Linked DNA regions of Anolis sagrei. The protein of the gene in region 2 interacts with the protein of the main gene of each other region in a pairwise test. Links are inferred from orthologs where the notes say so. Each region holds a gene or a part of one and is shown on either strand. Other genes may lie near its edges.

Evidence for each region.
Region 1: the proteins of SDCBP2 (region 2) and PTMS interact in a two-hybrid assay, tested with the Homo sapiens proteins (2 studies listed by BioGRID and IntAct). The two-hybrid records come from large-scale screens. The link is inferred for Anolis sagrei from reciprocal best matches to the Homo sapiens genes SDCBP2 and PTMS.

What each region holds. Positions count from the first base shown.
Region 1 is NC_090022.1:197,813,515-197,820,881, reverse strand, and holds the start of PTMS (parathymosin), read right to left. Parts: upstream 3,088-7,367; 5' UTR 2,944-3,087; coding exon 2,893-2,943; intron 1-2,892.
Region 2 is NC_090024.1:241,426,571-241,434,243, forward strand, and holds the start of SDCBP2 (syntenin-2), read right to left. Parts: upstream 3,004-7,673; 5' UTR 2,845-3,003; intron 426-2,844; 5' UTR 401-425; coding exon 347-400; intron 1-346.

The sequences.
Region 1 (7,367 bases), on a different chromosome or scaffold from region 2:
GACATGAGAGAAGCCTTGCACAGGATGGTTAACATGCGGGCATCCCCAGGGCAACATCATTGCTGATGGCCAATCCTCACACCAGAAGCAACTTGCTGTTTCTCAAGTCGCTCCTGACACACACAAAAATATTACTCTGTAAAGACTCAATACCTCATCATTTTCCACTAGAGGGCATTGTGCATTTTTTTCTGCTTTAAGCAGCTCTGAAAGCCAGCTTGCCAGGAGGGAGATTGAAACACTGGCCTAGATATCCAGCCTCATTTCACTTGGACCGTTTTCGGTGTCCCACTTGTGTTTGAATTCCCACTGGTGGTTATTCTCTGCACTGAACCTTATTCTACTCAGAGAGGAGGGTCTTCAAGGAGCAGAAACATTCATTCCTTCAGTCAGATTGCCTTCCCCAGGCTTTCCAAAGCAATGAATCATAACTGAAGTGGTTCTGGATCTTTTCAAGTCAGCCTTCAAGATCCCTTCCCCTCTTCCAGGAACTTGAGAGGAATGTGGTAGAGTGGTTCACTATGATCCTAACCCTAAAACAGCTCCCTGATCCCAGAGCAGCTCCCTCCCTCCTGGCCTTCAGAAGGAACGTTTTGAGTTTTATCCATGTCAGGAGCAACTTGAGAAACTGCAAGTTGCTTCTGATGTGAGAGAATTGGCTGTCTGGAAGGACGCTGCCCAGGAGACACCCGGATGTTTAGTTTTTACCATCTTGTGCGAGGCTTCTCTCATGTCCTGGCATGGCGAGCTGGAGATGACAGAAGGAGCTCACCTGCTCTCCCTGAATTTAAACCACTGACCTGTCAATCAGGAGTCCTGCCGGCACAAGAGTTTAACCCATTGCACCACCGAGGTTCAAAGAAAGTGGAAACCTGGCTCTGGAATCAAGCCTTTGGAGATTTATCTAAAGTGCAATAATAGCCTTGAAATATGTGTAATTGATCTTTGAATGGCCTTGGTTTTTAATTGACGATGCTGTGATTTTAATAGTGAATGCAATGTTTTATATGTTTTGATGTGCATGTAATTTTAATTTTTTAACTTAAGTGTATTCTAAGTGTTTGTTGTCCAAAGGCATTGAATAGTTGCCATATGTAAAGCCCCAATGAGTCCCCTTTGGGGTAGAGAAAGGCAGGATATAAATAGAGTAAATAAATATAAAAACTGCCCAGGATTAGCGTGGAATGCAAAACCTAAAGCAAACTCACTCATCTAAGGATGTAAGGCAGTGGTTCTCAACCTGCGGGTCCCCAGATGTTTTGGCCTTTGACTCCCAGAAATCCTAACAGCTGGTAAACTGGGTGGGATTTCTGGGAGTTAATAGGCCAAAACATCTGGGGAAACACAGGTTGAGAACCACTGACATAACGGAATTTTTTTTTTGTCTTGTCAGAACCAACTTGAGAAACTGCAAGTTGTTTCTGGTGTGAGACAATTGGTAGTCTGCAAGGACATTACCCAGAGGATGCCAGGATGTTTTGATGTTTTATCATCCTTGTGGGAGGCTTCTCTCATGTCCCCGCATGAGGAGCTGGAGCTGATAGAGGGAGCTCATCCATGCTCTCCTGGGATTCGAACCTCTGACCTGTCAGTCTTCAGTCCTGCCAGCACAGGGGTTTAACCCACTCCGCCACTGGGAGCTCCTGGAAGGGCCCTACTTATGGGTAAGGGTTTCTTTAGGGACTTCCCCTAAAACAATGCTTCCCCTAAAACAATAACTCCCAGAAATCCCAACCAGTTTACCAGCTGTTAGGATTTCCGGGAGCTGTAGGCCAAAACATCTGAGGACCTACAGCAGTGCCTGTGGGTCCCAAGATGTTTTGGTCTTCAACTCCCAAAAATCTTAAGAGCTGGTAAGCTGGCTGGGATTTCTAGGAGTTTTAGGCGAAAACACTGACCTACAGGTTGAGAACCACTGCCCTAAAAGCAAGCAGGTCTTGTCTCTGAGGACTGCACGCAGGATCTGTTTTGTGTGAGTGTGTGCACGCGGATGGGCTGGGAGTGCTTTCCGCAAGCGCGCTGTCTTTGTTTGGGTTGGTCGCTCAAACCCAGTGAAGTCAGCGCAAGGCCAAGTGTCCTGCAGCACCTGACCTTTATCCCTGTGTCCCTGGCTGCCCTGGGGAGGGTTTCAGTAATGATTTCCCTTGTTGCTCTGCAAAGAGGCGAACATTGTGCAAGAACAGAGCCCTGAAAATGGGAGGGGGAAAGAGAGAGAGAGAGAAAAGAGCTGCCTCCTCCAGCCCTGAAGGGGAGGGTCTTCAGTACTAGAGTGACCTTGCCTTTAGAGGAGGCCTGGGCCAATTTAGGCCCTCCAGGTGCTTTGGACTTCAACTCCCACCGTTCCTAACAGCCTCAGGCCCCTTCCTTTCCCCGCTTAAGCGGCTGAGGGGGAAAAAAGAAGGCGCCTGAGGCTGTTAGGAACGGTGGGAGTTGAAGTCCAAAGCACCTGGAGGGCCTAAATTGGCCCAGGCCTGCTTTAGAGGCTTCCAAGGGCGGGTAGGTCTGAGTTTCAGGTCGAAAGGGCTCGACGGAGGAGGAAGAGGCGGGTGCGCCCTTTGTGTGAGGAAAGGAGACCCGCAGGTGCCTCGCTCTCACTCCCCAACTCCCCGCCCCCGCCCTCGCGGGCCTTCGGAAGCAAACGCCGCGCGCCACTCGGGGCCCAGGGCCACTATGGCAGAGGGGAGACGGAGGGGAGAAAAAGAGGGGTGCGCGCGCAGCCACCCCTCGCGCGCTCTCTCGCTCTCTCTATGCCCGCGCGCGCCCACCCTCTTCTTCATTCCCCCCCCCCTCCCCTCTTCTCTTCATTCCCTATTCTTCTTCTTCTTCGTCGCCGCTTTCTTCGGACCGGGAGCGACCACCCCTTGTGTCCTTTTTTTTTGTCCGGCGTCTCACCTTGGCTGCCCCGAGCTCCACCGGAGCCTCTTCGGCGGGCTTCTCCGACATCCTTAGGCGGCAGAGAGGAAAGGGAGGGAGGCGAACGAGGCAGCGGCGGAGAGGATGAGAGAGAGCGCGAGAGAGAGAGTAAAAGGGAGGGAGGGAGGAAGGGGCGCGCGCTCGCTCGTTCGCTCGCGGAAAAGGGAGGGGGCGGCACCAGGCAGGCAAGCGCGCGCTCCCTTCTCGCGCACCAAGTGGGGGGCGCGCGCGCGCTCCGCAGCCGAGTTCTTCCTCCGCTTTTTCTCCCGAGGGAGGGGGGAAAGAAAAAAAAAAAAGAAAAAGAGGATTTATAGAGGAGGGCGGGGCCTGAGCCGAAGGAGGAAATGAAGGGAGAGGAGGAGGAGGAGAAGGAGGGGAGAGGCAAGGGCCACCAACTGCGCGCCTTTTAGGAGCCGCGATCAACGAGGCGGGGGGAAAAGAGGGAACCCCGTATCCGCGCCCTCAGCCCCTCTTTGCGCTTTGTCCTCTTTGTTCGCCCGCTCCTTTGTCCTTTGTCCCTCCTCCCACCCCCCTCCCGCTTCTGTCCCTTGATCCAGATTAACTCCTAGCACTTGGACAGCGTGTTTTTACGCTCTCCTCTCCCTTCACTTGCCGGAAAGCAGGCGTGGGGCGGGTTCGCGTGTGTCCCAACTGGACGACAACTGGCTGCCCAAGCACAAGGCGGTGTGGTGTATGAGTTATGTTAGCCGCCGCTTTGAGGGCCCTTCCACGCAGCCATATAATTTTCTACATAAATAAAAATGTAATGTTCCTTTGTGGGATTAACAGAACTCAAAAACCACCGAGGGAAGCGACACCAAATTTGGACACAAGACGCCCACTAACCCAAGGAATGACCATCACTCAAAAAAATTGATGTTGTCATTTGGGAGTTGTAGTTGCTGGGATTTATAGTTCACATACAATCAAAGAGCATTCTGAACTCCACCAACGAAGGAACTGAACCTGTCTTGGCATACAGAACTCCCATGACCAACAGAAAACACTAGAAGGGTTTGGTGGGCATTGACCTTGAGTTTGGGAGTTGTAGTTCACCCACATCCATAGATCACTGTGGACTCAAACAATGATGGATCTGGACCAAACTCTACACGAAGACTCAATATGCCCAAATGTGGACACTGGTGGAGTTTGGGGAAAATAGAACCTTGACATTTGGGAGTTGCAGTTGCTGGGATGTATAGTTCCCCTACAATCAGAGAGCATTCCAAACCCCACCAACGATAGAATTGGGCCAAACCTCCCACCAGAGGCAGCCCTAGGTAATTTTCAACGGTAAGCAAACAGTATTTTGGTGCCCCCCCCCCCCCCAACCAATCACTGATATATATTTTCTGTTCGTCATGGGAGTTCTGTGTGCCATATTTGGTTCAATTCCATCACTGGTGGAGTTCAGAATGCTCTTTGATTGTAGGTGAACTATATATCTCAGTAACTACAACTCGCATATGTCAAGGTCTATTTTCCCCCAAGAGCGTCTCAAGAGCGCCCCTGGGCAAAATCAACTATACTGCAAATGCTTACTTTGCGTAATGGGTTGAGCCGCCCCTGCCTCCCACACAAAACCCCCATGTGGGCCACAGCAATGCGTGGCAGGGGATGGCTAGTCTAGAATATCAAGGCAGAGCAACTCACAATATCTGCTTTGAACTGGGTTATCTGAGTCCAATATAGGAGCTCCTGGTGAGCTCTCATCTGTCAGCTTCAGCTTCTCATGCGGGGCCACGAGAGAAGCCTCATAGAATCACAGAGTTGGAAGAGACCTCATGGACCATCCAGTCCAATCCCCTGCCAAGAAGCAGGAAAATTGCATTCAAAGCATCCCACAGGATGGTAACACAGCACTGATAGATCCTGTAGTTCTCTATTTACTCAAATCTTAGTTTCTCAAGTCTCTCCTGACACAAAAATGGAACTACTATACGATGGGACTGGACAATGTTTTTAATAAGGATTCATTAATGACTTATGTTTTATTGCTGTTATGATTTTACTTATGTCGGTGTTTTTAAAATGTACTTATACTTTTGTGGCACTGAATTTTGCCTTGTAAACCGCCTCGAGTCGCCTGAGGGCTGAGAGGGGCAGTATACAAATACAGTAAATAAATAAATAACTTTATTTATGGGTTGTTGTAGGTTTTATTTATATTTTGCCCTATCTCCCCAAGGAGGCTTTATTTATATTTTGCCCTATCTCCCCAAGGAGACTCAGAGCAGAATCCAAGCAAATAAAACGGCAAACATTCAATGCCTCAGTACAATATCTGCTTTGTACTGGGTTATCTGAGTCCACACTGTTATATATTCCCGTTCAAAGCAGAAAATGTGGAATTTTATTAAGCTGTGTGGAAGGGGCTTGAGGACCCTTCCACACAGCCAGGCCTGTAGCGAGGGGGTGGTTTTAGGGGTTCAAACCCTCCCCGAAATGTTTCAGATTTTTTAAAAAACCTGGTTTACTCATGAATTTTAACTGGTTAACCAAATCCTCATGTTAAGTCTATGAGATTCAAAAAATTAAGAGTCCCTCCAGAACTGCAAGCACTATCTCAAGCAAATATTGACAGTTTATTCATATTGTCATTACTTGCAGCAATAGCCAATGTAGCGAAGCAACCAAGTTGGTGTGTGTGTGTGTTGAATGCTGTCATTAAGGAACTCACTGGGTTCCTGTGAGTTTTCCGGGCTGTATCACCATGTTCCAGAAGCATTCTCTCCTGATGTTTTGCCCACATCTATGACAAACATTCTCAGAAGTTGTGAAGTCTTTTGGAAACTAGGCAAGTGAGGTTTATATATCTGGAATAATGTCCAGGGTGGGAGAAAGAACTCTTGTCTGCCTGAGGCAAGTTGTGAATGTTGCAATTGGCCACCTTGATTAGCATTTAATGGCCTTGCAGCTTCAAAGCCTGGCTGGTTGCTGCCTGGGGATTCCTCTGGGTTTTTTTTAGTATTGCTCTTTATTTACTGTCCTGATTTTACAGGTTTTTTTTTAATACTGGTAGCCAGATTTTGTTCATTTTCATGGTTTCCTCCTTTTTGTTGAAATTGTCCACGCTTGTGGATTTCAGTGGACTTTCCACAGATATGTAAACCTCACTTCCCTATTTTCTAACAGAACTCACAATCTCTGAGGATGCCTGCCATAGATGTGGAGTCCCTGATCCCTGGAGTCTAAGGTGAAACTGGTATTTTAAATTGTATTGAAATGCTTTTAATTATTTAATGCAATCCGCTTTGAGTTTCCTTGGGGCAGAAAAGGCTTGGTATAAAGAAACAGAAATATGATGGTGATGATGATAATGATGTGTCCTTCATGCGAATGCACCCAAAGAGCCATAGGACAGGCATCACAAGTACTCTGAAGCTTGTCCGGTGAAGCTTGTTGCTTCCTTCACAGAGTAGACAATATTACAGAGGGCTCTGATACTACCTACCATAATAGGAGACATTATTATTATTATTATTATTATTATTATTATTATTATCTCACTTTTTCTCTCTATAAGTAAAGGTAAAGGTCTCCCCTAGTTGTCGACAGCGGCACCCTGTCATTAAGTTTAGTCTGATCTGGGTGGGGGTGTGTGTGCTCATTTCAATTTCTAAGCCAAAGAGCCGGCATTGTTCATAGGCACCTCCAAGGTTGTTTGGCTAGCATGATTGCATGGAGCACTGTTACTTTCCCACAGAAGCAATACCTATTGATCTGCTCACATTTGCATGTTTTCAAACTGCTAGACTGGCAGAAGCTGGGCCTAACAGCGGGTGCTCACTCCGCTCCCCGGATTGGAACTGCCAACCATTCAATTGAGTCTGTCAACCATACAGAGACTCAAAGCAGCTCACAATGAAAAGGATATGCCTATATGCTTCCCTCCTCATAGGAAAATAAATAAGCCATTAAGAAGAAGGAGGGAGATGGCTTATCTTCATAATACCCTTTGCTTGGCAGCACAAGGAACTCTTCAACTGAAAAAGCATTTGTGGTCAAACCAAGGACATTATTTCCACACAGCCAGAAAAAAACAACCACTCTTTCAAACAAATGAATTTCAAGTAAAAAGTTAAATCATATGTGGACATAATTCATTTCAAGGTGAACTGATCAGCTATACAGGAAAAAACCCCAAATATTTACATTGCTGCCTGCATCTTCATAGAGGGACTGTCAGGTTCTTTTCAGCATTGTTCATGTTTCTATTAGAGAGATGCTTTATTCTCGTAGATCACACAAGAGCTTTGCTGTTTCCAAAACATTTATTGTGCAGACTTAAAGGTTACTCTAAGGCCAAACATGCAGGCAGTCCCCATGTCTCACACAAGATAGGTTCTGTAGGTTTGTTCTTAAGTTGACTTTGCATGTAAGTCGGAACATGTATATTCTTAAGTGTAATTCCAGCATCTATCTATCCATCTCCTCAAAAAGGAAACTCC
Region 2 (7,673 bases):
TCTGCACTATTTTGGTTTGGTTAACTGCCTTCAGAGATGTTTAGTCCCATGTGCAGCTCTGGGAGGATGTGAAAGGAAGTAATAATTCACAGGTGTTTGTATGTTTATTTGAACCCTTCACTGACAGAACTACCCTTTGCAACTCCCAACAATGTCTGGCTAGCTCAGGCATGAGCAAGTTTGGGCCCTCCAGGTGTTTTGGACTTCAACTCCCACCATTCCTAACAGCCGGTAGGCTGTTAGGAATGGTGGGAGTTGAAGTCCAAAACACCTGGAGGGCCCAAGTTTGCCCATACCTGGTGTAAATACACCTGAGAACAAAACGAAGGGAAAGGACAGCACTCACCTTGAGGACTTGGTCCACCTTCATGTCCTCCAGCGATGGGTACAAGGTGGCCATGGTTGCTGCTCTTGTCAAGATATACCTGTCGAAAACAAAGGGACAAGGTGAAAATTAGAAGAGTTAGAAGAGATCCCAAGGCTATCCCATTAGAGGTGGGAAAGGAAAGGGCCTGAGGCTGTTAGGAATTGTGGGAGTTGAAGTCCAAAACACCTGGAGGGCCAAAGTTTGCCCAGACCTGGTCTACAATATCAATTGCAGCAAAGTGGCTACTATAAACAAAAACTGAGGTTGCATCTGCACTGCAGATTTAATGCAGTTTGACAGTGTTTTAGACGCCATGGTTCAATGCTATGAAAATATGGGAGCTGTAGTCTTACAAGGTCTCTAGCCTTCTCTGAAGTCAGGAACGAAACTACAACTCCCAGGATTGCATAGCATGGAGTCCATGGCTGTTCAAGTGGTGTCAATCTATACTCATTCTACTGTGAAGATATAGTACACAATTGCCCAATAATGTTTTCCCCCGTGATCTCATAGGAATTAACTAACGCTGGCTAATTAATGCAATTTGGATCACGGGTTGTGAGCCTCGTCACTCTCTGCAACAGTACATAGATACCAGGCGTTGCATAACACAAAAGTATGACTCATAAGGAAGTATGTTCTTTTCAGTTTCCATGAGTGCCCCGGGAAAAATAAACTGTGGATGTTAACTTTTCGAAAGTACGGGATTTGTAGCATGAGGGTGCAAAAAGATTGTTGTGGCACATTGAACATTCGCACACACTACTTCTTAATCACTAAAGCCCTTAATACTTAGGCAAATATTAAATTGTATTATTAATTATTTATTAATAAAATTAATTCATTTATTGTAAAGTATTAATTTATTATAAATTATTAATTATTAAAATTGTATAATCAATTAATTAATTGAAATCAATTCATTATTTGTTTAGCCACTTAATCATGAGCTGAATATTAATATATTAAGAATGTCAAAGGAAGAGTGGAATGTAACTACGTTATGGACATTTGATACCCCTTTCCTTGCTCTGTCTGTTTAGTTGCCATAGATACCTGGGACATATAGTTTCACGATGTACTTTGAACTGTAGTGATCTCTCCTGAACTATATCTCCCAAGATCCCCTCCTTCAGACCACAAACGCTTTTCTTGGGCTATCTTAAGAGTTATATATAGCCTTCGACAATACATTGGGAGTTATAGTTCGGGAGAACGATAGCCTTTGATCACAGGGCACAGCTACACAGTAGAATAAATACCATTTGAACCAACTTTGACTGCCATGACACGATGCAATGGCATCATGGGAGTTGTAATATCGCAGGCTCTGTAGCCTTCTCTGCCACAGAGCGCTGGTGCCCCAACAAACTACAAATCCCAGGATCCCATAGTGCTGAGCCCTGGCAGTTGAAGCAGAGTCAGCCTTGGAGTCTCCAATGTTTTTCACTCCCAACTCTCAGAATCTCAGAGCATTGGGAGTTGGAGTACATGATTCCCTAGAGATTCACATACTTCTGGAATTCTGAGAGTCGGAGTGAAAAACATTGGAGAGTCAAAGGTTGAGAGGCAGTTCCCTGGAGAGCTCTTGTTCCCTCCCTTTAATCACAGCGTTACCTGCAAGTATTCAAAACACCTCACCAAACTACAGATCCCAAGATGCCATACAATGGTGCTATGGCAGAAAAAGACAAATCAAACTACTATAATTCTGCAGTGCAGGTGCATTTCTTTGAATGGATCTACCTTGAGATGAAACTTGCTTTTGCTTTCTTCTGAGGCTGAGATAGTGTGACTTGCCTGAGTGGGGATTCAAACTCAAGAAATAATTGTTGTTTTTGTTGTTGTTGTTGTCCTACTTTTTTTTCAAGGGGACCCAAAGCGGCTAACAACTACACAAAGAACTCAAATTCTACATATAACTCTATGAAGAAGGCTAGGCCACTCAATCAAGACACCTGTCAACTTATAGCAAACACACAAATCTCATAGGATCTTCTTAAGATGCATCGTCACTGCAGAATAGATACAGTTTGGCACCATTTTGGCTTCCATGGCTCAGTACTATGGAATCGTGGGAATTGTAGTTTGCTGAGGCTCCAAAACTCTTTGACAAGGAATGCAGAAGGTCTTGTGAAACTATCATTCCCATGATTCCCTATCATTGAGCCATGGCACTTCAAGTCATATCAAACTGCATTATTTCTACAACCTCACCAAACTACAAGATGCACCAAACCACGGTAGGTAGAGTGATGTCAAACTGCATTCAACAGAACACCTGAGATTTGTTGCCAGCCTCCCAACCAGATCCCATCCAGGGATGTCCCTGCTTAGCTTTCAGACAAGACGGGGAACAGACTTCCAAAGCATGCCAGGGTTTTACATTGCAAGGAAGTAAACACTTTTTTTTTGTATCCACTGCCTTGACATTCTGTCCAACCCCACCCTCCAGGTGAGTCGAGAGCAGCACTTACCTGTCTGACGTTTCTGCAAAGAAAAGGCTTCTGCCGTTGACTTTTGTCCTCTTTCGACTTTATGGCAGGGAGGAGAATGAGAAGGAAGTGAAAAGACCAAAGCAAACCAGAAGTGGAGGAGGAACACAGTCTGGGTGACGTCAGGAGGAGGTTCCTGGCTCAGGTGTGGCTTACCTGTGCAAGAGCAAAGCATAGAGCTTGCCCATGGCTACATCTACACTGGAGAATTGATGCAACTGCTATGGCAACCTGAGAGTTGTGGTTCAGTGAGGTGCCACTCTCTTTGGCAGAGAAGGCCAGAGACCTTGTAGAACTACAACTCCCAGGATTCTAGATGTTGCAAACGTTGAGCATAAGATTGGTTTTTTATTGACTGTGATATATATATTAATTGTTTTTAACTGTTAAAACTGTTTAATTGCTGTCTATATTTTATCTGTATTACTGTGTAGGCATCAAATTGTGCCTTTTTGTAAGTCACCCTGAGTCCCCTCTCGGGGGTTGAGAAGGGCGGGGTAGAAGTACACGAAATAATAAATAAATAAATAAATAAAATAAGAAGGAATGTATAGTTCTGGGAGATACTAGGTGAGACTCTTTGGGTGCAGAATCAATTGAGCTTGACACAACTTGAATTTCCCTGGCTCAATGCTATGGAATCATGGGAATTGTAGTTTGTTTATTTATTTATATATTTACATCACTTATATCCCGCCCATATCAGCCCGCAGGCGACTCAGGGTGGTCTACATATCGGCACAATTCGATGCCATCAATACAATACAAAAGCAAAAACAATTAAGTGCATTTAGACAAAAGAGACAGTGCAATAACAATTTAAAAAGAGCTATATCCTCTCATTCCAATCCTCATCCGTTTTGTTGTCCTGGCCGTTCCTGGGTCATTCTCCACCTCAAGCTTGACTATTCCGGGGTTCCGAATGCCTGCTCGAAGAGCCAGGCTTTCAACTCTCTTACGAAAGGTCAGGAGGGAGGGGCTGATCTGATATCCCTAGGCAGGGAGTTCCACAGCCGAGGGGCCGCCACAGAGAAGGCCCTGTCTCTCGTCCCCGCCAAGCGTGCTTGCGAAGCAGACGGGATCGAGAGCAGGGCCTCCTCAGATGATCTTAACTTCCTGGAGGGTTCGTAGGAAGAGATGCGTTCGGATAGGTAGCCTGGTCCAGAACCGTTTAGGGCTTTATAGGCTAAAGCCAGCACTTTGAATTGTGCCCGGTAGCAAAGTGGCAGCCAGTGGAGCTGATGCAGCAGAGGAGTTGTATGCTCCCTGAGCGCCGCTCCTGTTAGCAACCTGGCTGCCGCACGCTGTACCATTTGTAGCTTCTGGGCCATCTTCAAAGGCAACCTCACGTAGAGCGCATTGCAGTAATCTATGCGGGATATAAGCAGAGCGTGGACTACCGTGGCCAAGTCAGACTTCCCAAGGTACGGGCGCATCTGGTGCACAAGTTTTAGTTGTGCAAATGCTCCCCTGGTCACCGCCGAAACTTGGGGTTCCAGGCTCAGCGATGAATCCAGGATCACACCCAAGCTGCAAACCTGCGTCTTCAGGGGGAGTGTAACCCCATCTAACACAGGCTTAACCCTATACCCTGTTCGGCCTTTCGACTGACCAGGAGTGCCTCTGTCTTGTCTGGATTCAGTTTCAATTTGTTAGCCCTCATCCAGTCCAATACAGCGGCCAAGCACTGGTTCAGGACCTGAACAGCCTCCTTAGTAGTAGGTGGGAAGGAGTAAAAGAGTTGGACATCATCTGCGTACAGATAACACCACACCCCGAAACTCCGGATGATCTCCCCCAGTGGCTTCATGTAGATGTTAAACAACATGGGGGACAGTATAGAACCCTGCGGGACCCCACAAGACAATGGTTTTGAGGTCGAGCAGTTGTCCCCCAGCAACACCTTCTGGGTACGATCCTCTAGGAAGGACCTGAGCCATTGCAAAACAGTGCCATCAAGGCCCATTCCCGCGAGGCGTCCCCGAAGGATACCATGGTCGATGGTATCGAAGGCCGCTGAGAGGTCCAGCAGAACCAACAGGGACACACTCCCCCTGTCTAGCTCCCGGCGAAGATCATCCACTAAGGCGACCAAGGCTGTCTTGGTACCATGTCCCGGCCTAAAGCCAGTTTGACAAGGGGTGCATCTACACCAGGCATGGGCAAACTTGGGCCCTCCAGGTGTTATGGACTTCAATTCCCACAATTTCTAATAGCCTGCCGGCTGTTAGGAATTATGGGAGTTGAAGTCCAAAACACCTGGAGGGCCCAAGTTTGCCTATGCCTGATCTACACTGTAGAATTAATGCAGTTCTGCACCACTTTGATTGCCATGGCTCAATGTTATTGAATCCTGCAAGGGGTCATTTCATAAAATCTTCAGGCTTCTCTGATAAAGAATGCTGGGGTCTCACCAAACTACAATTCCCATGATACCAGGCCATTGAGCTATGACTGTTCAAAGTGGGTTCAAACTGGATTAATTCTCCAGTGTAGGTGCACCCCATATGAGGTTAGATTGCAACTCCCCAAAATCCCCCAGCCAGCCTTGATCCTGGGAACTGCAATTCAGAAAAACTCATATGGGCACACTTTGAATTTATCATGCAAAATCCCCTTCTACGCTGCCATATAATCCATATTATCAAAGCAAATAATGATATTGAGCAGAAATTTAGGGGTCTTTGCCAGGAGGCAGAGACCAGTCAGACCCACCAAGGAGAGTCCGTTTGCCCTGGCAAGACAGAAAGAAGCCCCCAAACAATTTTCCCTGATTTTTCCCAATCAAGGTCTCACCAAGCTGAAGAAAAGCCACCGAGTTGTCTTTTATTTTGTTCCAGCTGGTACGGATGTCAAACTGCAATCCCTTGCCAGAGCTGACATGCTTGGCAGGACAGAATGATACATTTTTATAGAGATACAGAGCTGTCAAATTCAAATTCCCCTCCCCCCTTGCCGGCTTTGAGCTGATTGATTGGCGTCATCAGCTGGAGGGGAGGCACAGCCAGCTTAGGTGCGCCTCAGCCAATGGGAAAGCCAGCGCCGCTTCGGCTTCTCAGCCAATGAGGAGCGAGGAGGCGGTTCAAGCAGGAAACAATGAATCAGAAGGAAAGATGAGTGTATTAATGCACCTTAATGTTTGGTCCAATTGCCGGCGATAATCCGAAGTATCTCAAGCTAACCTGGTTTTGTCTCATGCGGGTGAAATATACAAAAGTGGCTGGCATGAATGCCAAGCCCCAGTAACCTCCAGTCCTGGGTATGGGATCAATTGATGTTATCTAGTCTTTGGTTTCAGCCAAGGGTATGAGGATAATGGGTGAGGCAGTTGGGGCACCCAAAATCCTCCTGAAGGCAGGATGTCTCCTTTGTTGAAGAGTGGTTGCATCTCCATGGGGTACTTCCTTCAGGTGGCCATGCGCTGAGGCCTGAAGGTGTACCCATTGTTTTTGTCCATGCAATAAGTCTTTGTTGAGTCCTTTTAATTAAGGGAAAAGTCCTTCTCAGGAAATGTAAAATATTTTCCTGAGATTTCGGCTTGCTGGGGTCACGAAACGGTGGCATTGCATATTTTATACAGACACATATATGGAGTTCATAAGGCAGACATTCATAAAAGAGAGAAAGGAATTAATATCAACCCATCCCACCCACCAAGAGTCCATTAAAAGGTCTAAAAGTACAGTGGAAATTCATGAGGTTTGGGGAAGAAAAGGGTTCTAAAAAGTTTCCAAAAGTTTTAAAAGTTGACCAAAGTTCAAAAAAAGTTCCAGAATCCATGAGGGCAGAATGAGGAAGGTTCCTCAGAGTCCATTGGGTCCTTTGGAGGTGATGGCAAGTACTGGAGCTCGAGATCCAGGTCAGAGAGTGGAGAAAACTATAGATCCCATCTCGTCAAGGACCGGGATGGCCCGTTGGTTTCCCGGGGGTCCCAAGGGGTGACCATGGCAGGTTCCCCAGGTCAACAGGCTCTTCGGGCATCAACAAGATGGCGGCAGCGATGTGGTGGCAGCAGAGAGTCAGCTGGGCTCCATGTTGAGTTTTGGGGGGCAAAAGGGTTATTCCTGGGGTGGAGAGGTTAGCAGAGCAAATGCGAGATAACCATTAGTCTTAAAATTAGCCCAGGAGAAGAATGGTACTGATTTTGGAGCGATCTGTTGACCCACAGATACGGGGACCCGATGGGTTTCCGTATCTGCGGTTCAGAGGAACGCAGTTTCGGCCTCCCCAGAATGCAAGAATCGCATCCCGGGCAGGCCGGCAACTGTCTGCAGCCTGGGAGAGAGAAAGTTCATACAGAGAATTGTTTGCAGGCAGTAAAGAACACAAAGTAACACTATAGAGTGGGAAAAGTTACCATTAATTGATACTTTATTGGGTGGATTTGTTACAATGTTAGCTAGGGGAAAGAAAGTAAAGCAGAAGGAGAGTCTTCGGTTGAGGCTGCTGCTGTGGTCACATTCCCATGGATGCTGTCCCAAGCAGGCAATTGAGAACTGCGGAACTCCCTGCTGCAGGTCAGATCAGCTTGAAGGCAGGGAGTTCTGGGTTGTTCCTTCTCACTAATACCTATTATCTGCTTTGAACTAGATTCTATGAATCTACACTCCCATATAATCCAGTTTAAAGCAGATAATCTGGATTTTATATGGCAATGTAGAAGGGGCCTAATTTATGTATATCTGTTTGTAGTTTAGGTTTACTTTGAGTTAAAGACAATGTTAGTGAGAGAATTTATGCAATTTGCTAAATGTTGTTTATGTCTGTTTATGTTTACCAACCTTGCAAAGGCATTTGACACAGTGAATTAC